Schizosaccharomyces pombe: one gene and its partner. The protein of the gene in region 1 interacts with the protein of each later gene in a pairwise test. Each region holds a gene or a part of one and is shown on either strand. Other genes may lie near its edges. The genes, in order: pcf11 and clr5.

Region 1 (6,263 bases):
GCTGACAGTAAAACTTTGGCCTCCTTAAAGCGAGAGGAACTTCTGAAATTAATTTGCAACAAATCTAACGAGCTAGGAAAAAACGTTGGATGGTCTACTATGTCTATTTCCGCAAGAGAATTAGCTGCAGGAATGCTGAGGTACCGGAACAAGTATAATTTAAATCTTCAAGCACATGATACGACAATTGACTTAATAAAAAAAGTTTATGAATCAGGAATAAATGTTACAGAGATTTACGTGGATACAGTAGGACCTCCAATATCATACCAGGAAAAATTACAAGCTCATTTTCCTCAAGCGAAAGTCACTGTCACTAAAAAAGCAGATTCCCTTTTTCCCATCGTGAGTTTAGCTTCTATCTGTGCTAAAGTTACTAGAGATATTCAACTGGAATGCGCTCGTGAAAGTATTCGAACTGAGAACTGGGGTTCTGGATATTCTTCTGACGCTCGAACTACCGAGTGGTTAAAAGTAAATGTCGATAAAATTTTCGGATGGAAGGGAGACATAGTTAGATATTCATGGAAAACCGCTAAGGATTTACTAGAATTACCTTCCAAATCACAGTCTTCGATTGAAATAGATTGGCACGAAGATGACGATACTCCTACTTTGAACTTTACACAGAAAAAGAAACCGAATCCGGCTTCTCGTTCGTGGTTTGGATCAGAGTTTTATTTTTAGTTTAGTTACTATACTCTGTCACTACTTTTGCCTAAGACTAATTGTGAGAGTGATACGAATTTACATTTATGCTTAAAATCATTAATTGCATTGCTTCGTGCTTTTGGAGCTACGTAGAAAACCTTTATTAGCATTTGGTTATAGATAAAAATAATATAAATTTATTGTTCTATTTACCCCAGGCTTCTGCTCTGTTTATTGAGTTTGGTTTAGCACCAACAATAATATAACGACTTGTTAAAGTTCGCTATTATAAAAATTAGGTGGTCTTCTTTTACTTCTCAGTCCGATTTTAGACTACTACCAAATACCGCTTTGTTGTGGAATCTCGTTTTTTTTTTGCATAGATACCCAATTTGATCAAATATGGCTGGCATGAGACTTATTTTAGTTGGACCTCCAGGTGCTGGAAAAGGCACTCAGGCCCCCAACATTCAGAAGAAATATGGCATCGCCCATCTTGCTACTGGTGACATGTTGCGCTCTCAAGTAGCTCGTCAAACTGAGCTCGGTAAAGAAGCTAAGAAGATCATGGATCAGGGTGGTCTTGTCAGCGATGACATTGTCACTGGTATGATCAAGGATGAGATCCTCAACAATCCTGAGTGCAAGAACGGCTTCATCCTGGACGGTTTCCCCCGTACTGTCGTCCAAGCTGAAAAGCTTACCGCTCTTCTTGATGAACTCAAACTTGACTTGAATACTGTCCTTGAGTTACAAGTTGATGATGAACTTTTGGTCAGACGTATCACTGGTCGTCTCGTCCATCCCGGATCTGGCCGTAGCTACCACTTGGAATTTAATCCTCCTAAAGTTCCTATGAAAGACGATGTTACTGGCGAGCCTCTTATCCAACGTTCCGATGATAACGCCGATGCTTTGCGCAAGCGTTTGGTCACTTATCACGAACAAACTACTCCTGTCGTTGAGTTTTACAAAAAGAAGGGTAAATGGGCTGCTGTTGATGCTGCTCAAAAACCTGAGCAAGTTTGGGAGCAGATCGTTGCTATTCTTGAGAAGGCTGAGTAAGTATTTTTTTTAGGTTAGAGCTGAAGGGCCCCTTTCTTTTTCAATTACTTAGATATTTTTGCCTAGTGTTCGTAGGATATAAATATAGAATATTCTGAACCCAAAAGTTTTCGGTAAACTGTTTAGTTTGCTATACTACTATAAGCAGTATGTAAAACTCATATTTTAGCTGATTATATAGAAATATTTTTTGTATGTACATGATTCAAATTTATTGCTAAAATCCGAAAGCTCGAGAAAAATGAGGTTAAAACAAAACTCACTTGCTTTCTTGTTTAATAACTTTAGAAGACATTGAATCCATTGAATCGTCTCTCTCTTTGCGTTTACCAAGTGCTTGAAGGATACTTTGAATATCAATGCCTTGTAACAAATTTTGAACATCAGGTTGAGAGTCCTTCGAAGCGTCACCCGTAGCATTTTTAATATTAGACGAAACAGCTGCTTCCGCTAAATTTTGTGTACTAGTATTTGTGTTTGAATGTTTGTTTTCTGACGGGCGTACTTCTTGCAAACAAGTCGCATGAAATATACGGCCTTCCTCTTCGACTGCATTCATAAAGACCCAAACTTCAGCTTCCTCATGCCAAACACTTTGGAATTTTTCTTGACATATTGGACAAGGCTCGGACGCAGCAATTGGATCTAAGGGTGTCAATACATATTGTGACCTAACGGATTCCATTTGCTTTTGACGCTGTTCTTCGATTTCCTGAGCAGTCTCTGTAATTAAATCTTCCTCTTCTTTGCTATTGACCCATTCTTCCTCCATCACAAACCAACAGCGATTAATCCCATGAAGGCTACTTTCACGAATTCTCTTATTGATCCGAAAATGCCAATCTGAATGTTTGTCCAACTCCTTTCTACTTTCAGGATCATTTCCATAACGCCTACCACAGTTTGCGCATTGGTTAGAATAATTCTCATATAACAAAGAAGATAGCTTGGGCCGAGGAGTAGCGAGCGAAGATTTAGAAAGGTCAATGTCTGCTGTTAGAGACACAGCTTCAGTACAAGAAGCTTGTGGACCTTGAGACTTACCACCAGCAGATGGCGGAACCAACCCTGCAGCTTGCAGATTAGCAAAAAGAGAATCTATACTAGACGATTCTTCAGGCGTTAACGCGTTCGCGTTGTATAAGGATGCCGGCGGCCCTGAAGATAACGAATACTTGTGACTTTGAGGACCTGGATGGACATATGAATGAGTGAGTGGAGGTTGCGAAGATACAGAAGCCGAATACGCAGAAGGAATTGTAGGAATGGTAGATGGAATAGAAGGTTTCATAAAAGGAGTCGAAGAAATAGATGATAATGCAGAAGGCACGGAGGGAGCAGACGTAGCAACAGAACTCGTTGAAGGAGAAGCCGGCTTCTCTAATTGTGCCAGCTGGTTTTTTATAGCCAGCAATTGGTCATAAGGTAGTGCGGAAGAAGACAGCACATTTTTGAGTTGTAATAGTATTTCAAACCGCTTTTTAGCCATGTTGTCATAAGGATTTTTAATAAATCTAGCTTGTTCTGTAACAATCATTCGGTTAACATCAGATAAAAGAGAGTCCAGTGTAATAAATCCAGGAGAAGGACTGGTGCCCGAAATATGCTGAAAGCCAAATGGAACAGAAGGTAAAGACGGTTTGTACGAAGATGCCGGATCGGAAAATGAGGAGTAGGAGTTAATATTAGCGTCAATAGGAGCAGAAAATGATGAAATTGAAGTATTAGCAAGTAAAGGGCTCTGATGTCTCAAAATTGTTGATTTGTATTTTAGTAATGCGTTTTCAATTTTTGCTGTAACTATGGGGGAAAATACGGGCTCCAAAGAACTTGAATTCGGTGGACGTTGTTTCCAAGTAGCTAATAATTGATCCAGTTTTAAGCGCAGACGGGGTTCTACTACGGTGTATGCACTCATAAATGTCGAAAAAAGATGAAGGCCAAAAAAATAAGTATAAGGAGCTCCTAAATTCTTAGAAATAGAATCTAAAAGGTAAAGCGCTGGAAGTTTACAGTTAGGTGGGCACTGTAAATAAGAGTTAGCACATATGTTTCAATCAAGGTTAAATCATACTTTTTGGATATGTTTTTCAATGGCGTTCACGATGCTAATAGCATAAGGCTCATTCTCCTGCGCGATATAAGTAAGAGTATGGATGATAGGTTTACTGTTAAACGTTAAATCTTCTAATGCACTTAAGTAATCCAATTCCACTAAATCCATTTTCTTCTCTTTTCTGAGTTTAGGATAATGTAAAGCTAAACAAATCTAGCTATAGTCAAGTATGATAAATTATCTAACCGATACTGTCAAAACCAAAGTTTTCTTTTCTCAAAAATATCTTTTAAAACAAAATATTGTACACAATGATAAAATATTTACTTTTTAAACACACACACGCAGACTACAAAACAAAATTGTAATCGTGAGAGTCTCAAAAAACTAAGGATAATAGAAAACACCCGATATATTAGTACTGGGATATTTTCAATGCATCAGTATCCTTTTTCAATAAAAGGAAACTCTTTCTTTTAAAGAGAAGTCTATGGGACAAGGCAGCGTTGCTCGTAAGGAAGTTATTCGTATGTGATACATCTAATAGGTTATGTATTGTGTGTATATCATTCTCAGATTACAAAATATGGTGAAGCGTGCTAATGCAAATAGCGTATTTAAATTTACCCATTAATGTATTAACCTTTTTATAGTACTATTTAAAGTTATGGACGAGAATATTAACTTATAACTTATTAGCTTTTTTTTTTATAACAGTTTCGGCATGCATGGTTTATGGATTATCTGTAAATATACCTCAACATAATTTTAGAAAGTTTACGATTCAAAGAAACTCGTACTCTATTAAGGTGAATCTGATAGTAATTCTTGTCGGGACGTGATATTAAAGATCTAAAAGTAATGGAACCGATAATATAAAACACAAATTAAATGTTTTTTTAGTAAATTACTTTCAATTGTATGAATCATTCTTGAAGTAAAGTCTAACTTGAGTTTTTATATCTAAGAAGGCTGCATACAAAAGGAAAAGTTAAGTATATACATATTATTCTAAATCAATTTATCAATATATTATGAAAACTATCAAAGGAAGTATTGGCTCGTTGTATGCAAGGGAACGTGAAGAATGTTGGTGGTTTGTTTACTTAAAAAGTGTAAACAAAAGTTCCAATCCCTTAATCAGAATTCGCCCAAAGCATATTTTTTGTCCAGGCAAGGGAAGTTGGATAATTCTCTTTTGATCTCAGTAAGTCTTTTTAATTAATTTAGTTTTGCATTTAGGTTTTACTGTTTGATTTTTCTGCCTTTTAAAAGAGCATACCCAAAGTATGCAGAGAGACGAGGAAAGACCCATTGACTTTGGAATGTCTTTAGAACTCCCAAAAACACCAAATGATGTAAACTATGTTAAAAAATTGATTACTCAAATTCTTTATCTCCAAACTCTCGTTTCGGAGCAGCAAAAAAAGATTGAGTCATCTACTCTAGAGGTCCAGAAGAAGAAGGATCAAATAAGAGAATTAGAAAGGATTTATGAGATGAATCCAAAAAGTTTCCTAACTCTTCGACGAACGCCAGCGCTTAAGTTACTTCCTGAGACTTTGTCTGTAGAGCTATCTAATGAAGTAAATCTGACTTCGTCAACCACTTCTTCCTGCGTAAAGCCTTCTCCCTATCTTACAAATTGTAATCTAAAAAACAAGGACACATTTCCCGTTAGCAAAAATAATTGCTCTTTGTCTTCTGGAATTTTTACAAACAGCAATGGCACCAACAATTGTTTTTCGACTCATCCAAAATCCTTGGATGACGCAAAAGACAATGTGGTTCCTAAAAAATTAAATGATACCGATCAGTTTCCTTTATGGAGTAAAAATGAAACAATCGACCCGATAGATCTCGGTTATTCTTTTATTTCGCCGTTCTCAATGTCATTTGCAAGCAAGGGTAATGAAATTTTGGATCCAGGAGAGTCAACAAATAAAAATCTATTTTATGAATTTCCTAATGGAACAACCGAGCCGTTTGAAAAAAACTCTGTGCATTCTGGCAAAGAGACTTTACAGTACAGCGCAACCATAAGCAAATGGAAGGTAAGTCTTTCTTCAAATTTAAGCTTCATAATGTAATTGAAATTCCCTTTCGCTAATGATTCTTTTTTTAGGCTATGATAGAGCAAATTATCTTTCAAAATGATCAGGCAGCCTCACTATCTCTGCAACAGCAACTTAAGAATGAGGATATTGAGGATAATATTAATCTCATTAACACTATTCTTCCGTTTTCTGTTACATTAATGAAAAATAAGTTCGGAAACTTTCTGATACAAAAATGCTTTGAATATAGCACTGAGGCACAATTGCAAAGTTTTAGCTATTTTCTCAAAAAACATGTGAAGGAGTTATCGATTGACGCGTTTGGTTCTCATGTATTACAAAAATCATTAGAAATTTATCCAGAAAGATTTACAAATAACCTAATTGAAGAGCTTATAGAATGCTTACCAGCTACTCTTATGCAAAGACATTCC
Region 2 (5,884 bases), 3.2 Mb from region 1:
GGTGGAGTTGCATGGATTAACTCTAGCACGACATGTTGGAGAAGAAAAAAAAATTTTATGAGGGTAACGAAATTTGACCCCCATAAATTCGACCCCATACACTAAAACGCAGTAAGACTAATAGATAGGGTGGGAAACACCGAAGCTGATAAAGTAGTGGAGTAATGCCAGTCGTTAAATGAATATATTGTAACGGTGGAATAAGTAATCCATATCACTATATTGGTTCAATGAATTGTTGTGAGAGAGACTGATGGATAAAAATATATACATATAATTTTATTTCCTTTTTTTTTTTTTCTTTTTTGGAGATGGGATTCCTTAGTTTATGTTGATATAAAAATAGAAAAAGACAAATGTAATAAGATCTGCAAAATTCACACAACTTTATGTTTTTGTTCACATGTTACATTCAACTTTATGTTTATTCACATGACTTGATGATTTTATTTTGGCGGACGCAGAGTTTGCCAAATTGAAGGAAATAGAGTTGTGTCTGATATGGATGCGAAAGGTATGCGAGTGGCATAAAACTGGCATCCCAGTGTTACAAAATATATATTTTTTTTTAATATTTAGTTATTCATTTACTTATTGGGTTATATTTACAAGACAGTGTGATGATAATACAAATAATAGAGTGGAGTATGTTATACGAATAAAGTATGTTATGAAAAGTTTCTAATAAATAAATTATGCTATTCCGTATGTTGTATAAATGAAGCTGCTATAAAGTATGTTAAAATTGTATACTAAAAGAATACAAGGTGGATTATGTAGTAAGAAAACAACGAGTCTTACTAGCAAGTTTATAAACTTTCCTCGGGATGAGCGATAGCATAAGTTTTGCAAGGTAAAGGACATCGGCAGTGTCAAGAGGAAGAAGTCGATAAAAAGGAAATACTCGATCAAAGAACTTTAAAATAAATTAAGGAAAAAGAAAGAAATTACCCCAATTATTTTTTAGTATTATTTTTATTTTTATTTTTCTTCTTTCTTTCTTTCTTTTCTTATCCTATTTCTCTTCTTATCCCATGCCTTACCCTACCTTTTCATATCTTACCTTGCCATCCCTTCTATTTCATCTACTATTACCTCTGTCTTGTAACACTTGATGGATGCGTGCATCAGTGTGCTCTCTTTCATGGGTGCTCGCTTCTTCCTCCTCTTCGTCCATCCAAATTAGGTACGTTCGGAGTTGATCATGATTTCGGATTTTCAATTTTTTTTCTCAGACACTCGTCTCCAGATACCCATGTCGTCTCCAAAGCAACCTGTTACTCGTTTGCGAAAAGAAAAAAATACCTTGGCAAGACAAGGCAAGCAGGCATCTCTGCCCAACATTTACTAGCAGACCAAATCGCGAACATGTCAGCTTTCTAACGTTCATCCTTCACTTACTGGAAATGGGACAGAATGCTCTCGTCGAGGATTTAACGTTAAAGGTTATTGTTGAGTTGACAAAAGGTGGAAGAAGCGAACAAAAGAGTTGGTAAAAGAAAAAAGTTGCCGCTAGCGAGTCCACCCTCTACCAATAGATCAAACGTGCCAAAAGACATATGGGATAGCAAAGGCCCAAACTCCCCCAACCCAACCTAACCTAACCTAACCTACCTAAGAGTAGTGTTGAGTAGAATGAGTTTCAGTACTTTGAGTGCGAAAGGAGTAATGAGTTTTGTTGGATGGATAAGAGCAGGGAAGCGCCATCATACGAAGCGGCTTAACAGTGAAACCGAAATTCTCCATGAGCAATATTTAATGAATATCTCACGATGTGATTGGAAAGATGGCAACCATCGATACGAGGTCATTTTTCCGAATGCCTGAGATGATAGAAAAAAGTTGCGCCCTTTTTGGCTATATATTTCTATCCTCTTTGACCCGATGTTCCTTACATGTTTCCGGGGGTGTACCTTGGATCGCTCTATTTTATCATTTAACGTTGTTGTCATTCGTGCACTAAATTGATACACTATTTTCACCCCTACTTTACGAGCCACCACTACCACCAACTCTGGCCACTTCCAATCTCAACTTGAAACAACATTAGACAACCGAAAGTTCGATTTCAATGACGAAGGAATGGGAATGTCGAAGAGAGCAGATCATCGAGCTTTCCAAGATCAATGGAATGACGATTCGCGAGCTGCAGGCGAGAATGTCAAAGATGTATAAATTTGACGCTAGGTAAGTAGTTTGTTGGTGTCGCCGCAGGGACTACAAGTTGCGCCATTTTGTGCGAGATGCTTGCGATGCGACGAGGAGCGAATAAGTACAGGGCTAGAGGTACGAGAAGGTGAATGGAATTGTGTGTTTGGATGTTTGGGTGTAGGTCGTCGTTGTGTGTCGTGCCTGCATGGACATTGGCTATTGTTGGGTATGTGGGGTTGCGACAATAAAACAGGATGGCAGTTTTCCAAAACATCCTCAACTGAGACATTCATTCAACAATGAAATTTTGTTTCTTTGTTTCTTTGTCTTTTTGGTTTGCTGTTTTGTTTGGAATATCTTTTTTTTCATCCACTTTGTCCAATCCACTTACATACAGGATACAAATGTCCTAAACAATAACCCGTCATGTATATCATGTGCATGCTCATGCAAAAGACCATGCCATATGAATCCATCCTGTTTTCCTTTCCTCTATTTCATTTGGCGTTGCGTTGAAGTTGTCTTTCGCTACTTCGTTTTCGCTCACGTTTATGTTCACGTATCGCGTACTTGTCTCTTTAGCTCTTTTTTTTTGTTGTTTTGTTTCATTACTCTTGCTAACTTTTCTCTAGTATTCGCTCATACAAACGCGTGTTGGCTCGATGGGGAATTCGAGTACATCGTCAACGTTTTGTCTCGCCCCGAACCGAAGAGGCCGCCGCGCGAACCGCTTCGGGCGACGTTTCAAAGGCTCTCGATGAACTCGTTACCCAATTATTTCATGCGCGACAAAGTGATAAAGATTCTTTGGCCCAGATAGAGGCGAACTTTGGTTTAAAACTTTCGAAACGTGCTTTGCATTATCGTCGTAAGAGATTAGCCTTAAAGCGTCCTCCTCCTGACTCCCACGATTCTCCCAATAACTCTATCCCTTTGATGGCCAACTCTTGTCTTTTGTCTGCTGATAACTCTTCGTCGTCTACAACTTCCAATCCTAACGTTGCTCCTCCCATTAGCACTCTTCCTGATCCCGTCGCTACTATATCATCTTCTTCTTCGAGCCATTTAGATATGGGTGCCATCCATCCTCCTCACCATAGCTCGCTTCCCCCTCACATGGGTGTGGATCCTTCAACTATGGCTGATGCACACAATGCGCACTCTTCTTTGACTCCTCCACAGTCTGGCTATTCTAGCATGCCATCTCTTCCTTATTTGCAGCAGCCTTTCCAAATACCCTCTCAACGTTTCTCTCGACAGCAACAATCTCATCCATTCCCTGCTGCTCAACATGCCGTTAACGGTCAGCCACAAGCTTTGTATCCTTTCATCTACCAATCTAGAAATGTCCCAATGGGCTCCACCATGTTTGCTTCTTCAAACCAATCTGCTGCTCATCCTGACGGTAATAATGCCCTTCCAATGGACAATACTCATGCCAACATATCCTATATGCAATCATCACAATCGATGCCTGTTAATTCTTATTCCTATGATCGATATACTCCAAATCAACCATCTTATCTTGAAAGTAAGCCTGGAAATCACCAACCCAGTTATACATCTGAACAACCTATGTATTCTACAGCGTCGGTTCCTCAACAAATTTCTAACGGACCAACTGCTGTCAATGGATTACCCATGAATTCATACACACCTCATTCCAATCATCTTCATTCACCCTCTCCTAACTCAAATTCAGGGCCTACTGATTCTTTGTCTGCTCCTAATTCTACATCCAGCCCTTCAATGGCGCATGCAAATGGAGCTTCTTTTGCAAGTCAGTACCCCTCTCTAAACAAGTCCATTTTTCCAGCTTCATATTCTTCTTCAGCGGAGGATGGGCAAAACATGCAAGCACCAGCACATGCTTATATGCAGTCTTCCATTTACGGCGTTAATCAAGAGCAAAAGTCGGAATATCCTTCTAATCTTTCAATGCAGTCTTCCATGTCAATTAAAGACCCCTCCCAGTTACAGCGTATACACTTATACCCTCAGCATTCTCAATACGATCCTAATGGAATGACTATGCGCGATCACTATTCTGAACGAATTGAACCGGAGGCAAAACCATCCGATGAAACTCTGACTGTCCGTTCATCTCGTGATTTATCTGTTCATAACGTTGGTACGTTACCTGTGCTAAGTGCCGCTGCTGCAACGCAGGCTGCAATGCCTCATACAATGGGACCCTCTGCTCATGACTCAGCATCAGCACCTAGCCCGCATATGCAATCGCAGCAAGCTCTACCGTATCAATATTACAATCCTCTCCCCGCTATGGCTGATCCAGCACAGAATGTTCCTCAACAGCTTCCTCCTCCCATTCACTCTCATTTATCTGATGACCAGCATATCCAATACTCGTATCCCAACACATTCGTTAATAGATTTCCTCAGAACATTCACCATCCTTCAGCTAATCTATTAGATGCAAGTGCGGCTTTGAATCCAGTACAAAATCCATTGCTTATGCCCCAACAAAACCATGAGCATTCTCCCCTGGTTCGTTCAGATGCAGCTTTGCATGACCATGGACCTTTACTTCCTGTTTATCCAGATGTAGATTCTCGTTTCGTTTAGTTTAGGTTAGTATTGCCGCTTGTTGCACTTTGCGGTTTTGACCATTTCCATGGTGTTGCTCTATTTATACTAGTACCTGTATCTTTAGTTGGTCCTTTCTGGCATTCCCTTTTGGTTTCTGCTTTATTATCATTTAGATGTTTTTTAATTTTTTTCTTCACCATTCGCCCTACCTGCCTAATGTGAGTTAAATTATATTGCCATTTGTGTCAGTATCTGGTATATGGACAGGCAAGCCCTTCTTTTTTAATAAAAGAACCTTTTGCGTTAGCTCTTATTTGAGCTAAGTTCATTTTTGATTCTTTTTTGCTCTTAATCGTTTTGTCTTTTTGCTTTGTATATAATTTTAGAAACTATTTTTAATCAAGGTCGACCGGTACTTTCGTATACGAGATCCTATGTACATAAAAGTTATATATTTAATAATAGTTATTTTTATTTTGCTTATACATTCGGTTTTTACTATTTACAAACTTTAACCAACCTTGAATAGTTATCATAGTAGTGGATTCAGTAAAGTATTATATTTAATAAGCTGTGGAAATGTTTCATTCAACAAATTATGAGTAACCGGACGTTTTTAGGTTTTTAAAAGCCTTAAAATAGAACGGATTTGGCCTGTTGAACTGACAAAGCATATCACACCATCTTGGTAAAATATATAATGTACAATATAGATCGTTCTTAGAGGGTATCAAAATAACGATTGTTAAAATGCTTTTAAAAAATGTGCTTAAATACAATCGGAAGAGCAGGAGAGAGCACTAAACGCCTTAAAATAGCTTTTACCAATTGGTGTAACCAAAGGTTTCGTTTGGCCCAAGTGACCTATATGGCACACTTTTCCAATCATAAGTTTTAGTGTACACAGTGTTTCCCCACCAGGTTATCTTACCTCCAGGGTATGATACACATAAGAAAATTACTACTCCAGCGACTGCAACCCCAGAATCCATAGCTGCAGCCAGTACGTAGTTGTACTTCCTCCACCAGTGTATCGCGCGCTTTCTAATCACATAATTAAATATAAACCCAACAATTGCCCAAGAAGAATAGTTAATTCCAGTAGCGGGAGGAATATTGCCAGGACCAGTGAAAAGGACCGGAGCATTAAGCTTTCCAATCCACGACTTAGGAAACCTTTTTC

The links.
Region 2: the proteins of pcf11 (region 1) and clr5 interact in a two-hybrid assay, tested with the Schizosaccharomyces pombe proteins (one large-scale study listed by BioGRID).

The regions. Positions count from the first base shown.
Region 1 is NC_003424.3:2,254,882-2,261,144, forward strand, and holds pcf11 (cleavage and polyadenylation specificity factor), read right to left. Parts: upstream 4,306-6,263; 5' UTR 3,941-4,305; coding exon 3,791-3,940; intron 3,743-3,790; coding exon 1,976-3,742; 3' UTR 1,717-1,975; coding exon of another isoform or gene 1,054-1,716; 3' UTR 796-1,053; downstream 1-795. Other genes in the region: ribonuclease H2 complex subunit Rnh201, read left to right, coding at 1-687; adenylate kinase Adk1, read left to right, coding at 1,054-1,716; mpf1 (meiotic PUF family protein 1), read left to right, coding at 5,062-5,826, 5,898-6,263.
Region 2 is NC_003424.3:5,426,336-5,432,219, forward strand, and holds clr5 (silencing factor Clr5), read left to right. Parts: upstream 1-2,020; 5' UTR 2,021-2,071; coding exon 2,072-2,187; intron 2,188-2,783; coding exon 2,784-4,737; 3' UTR 4,738-5,188; downstream 5,189-5,884. Other genes in the region: plasma membrane glutathione transmembrane transporter Pgt1, read right to left, coding at 5,523-5,884.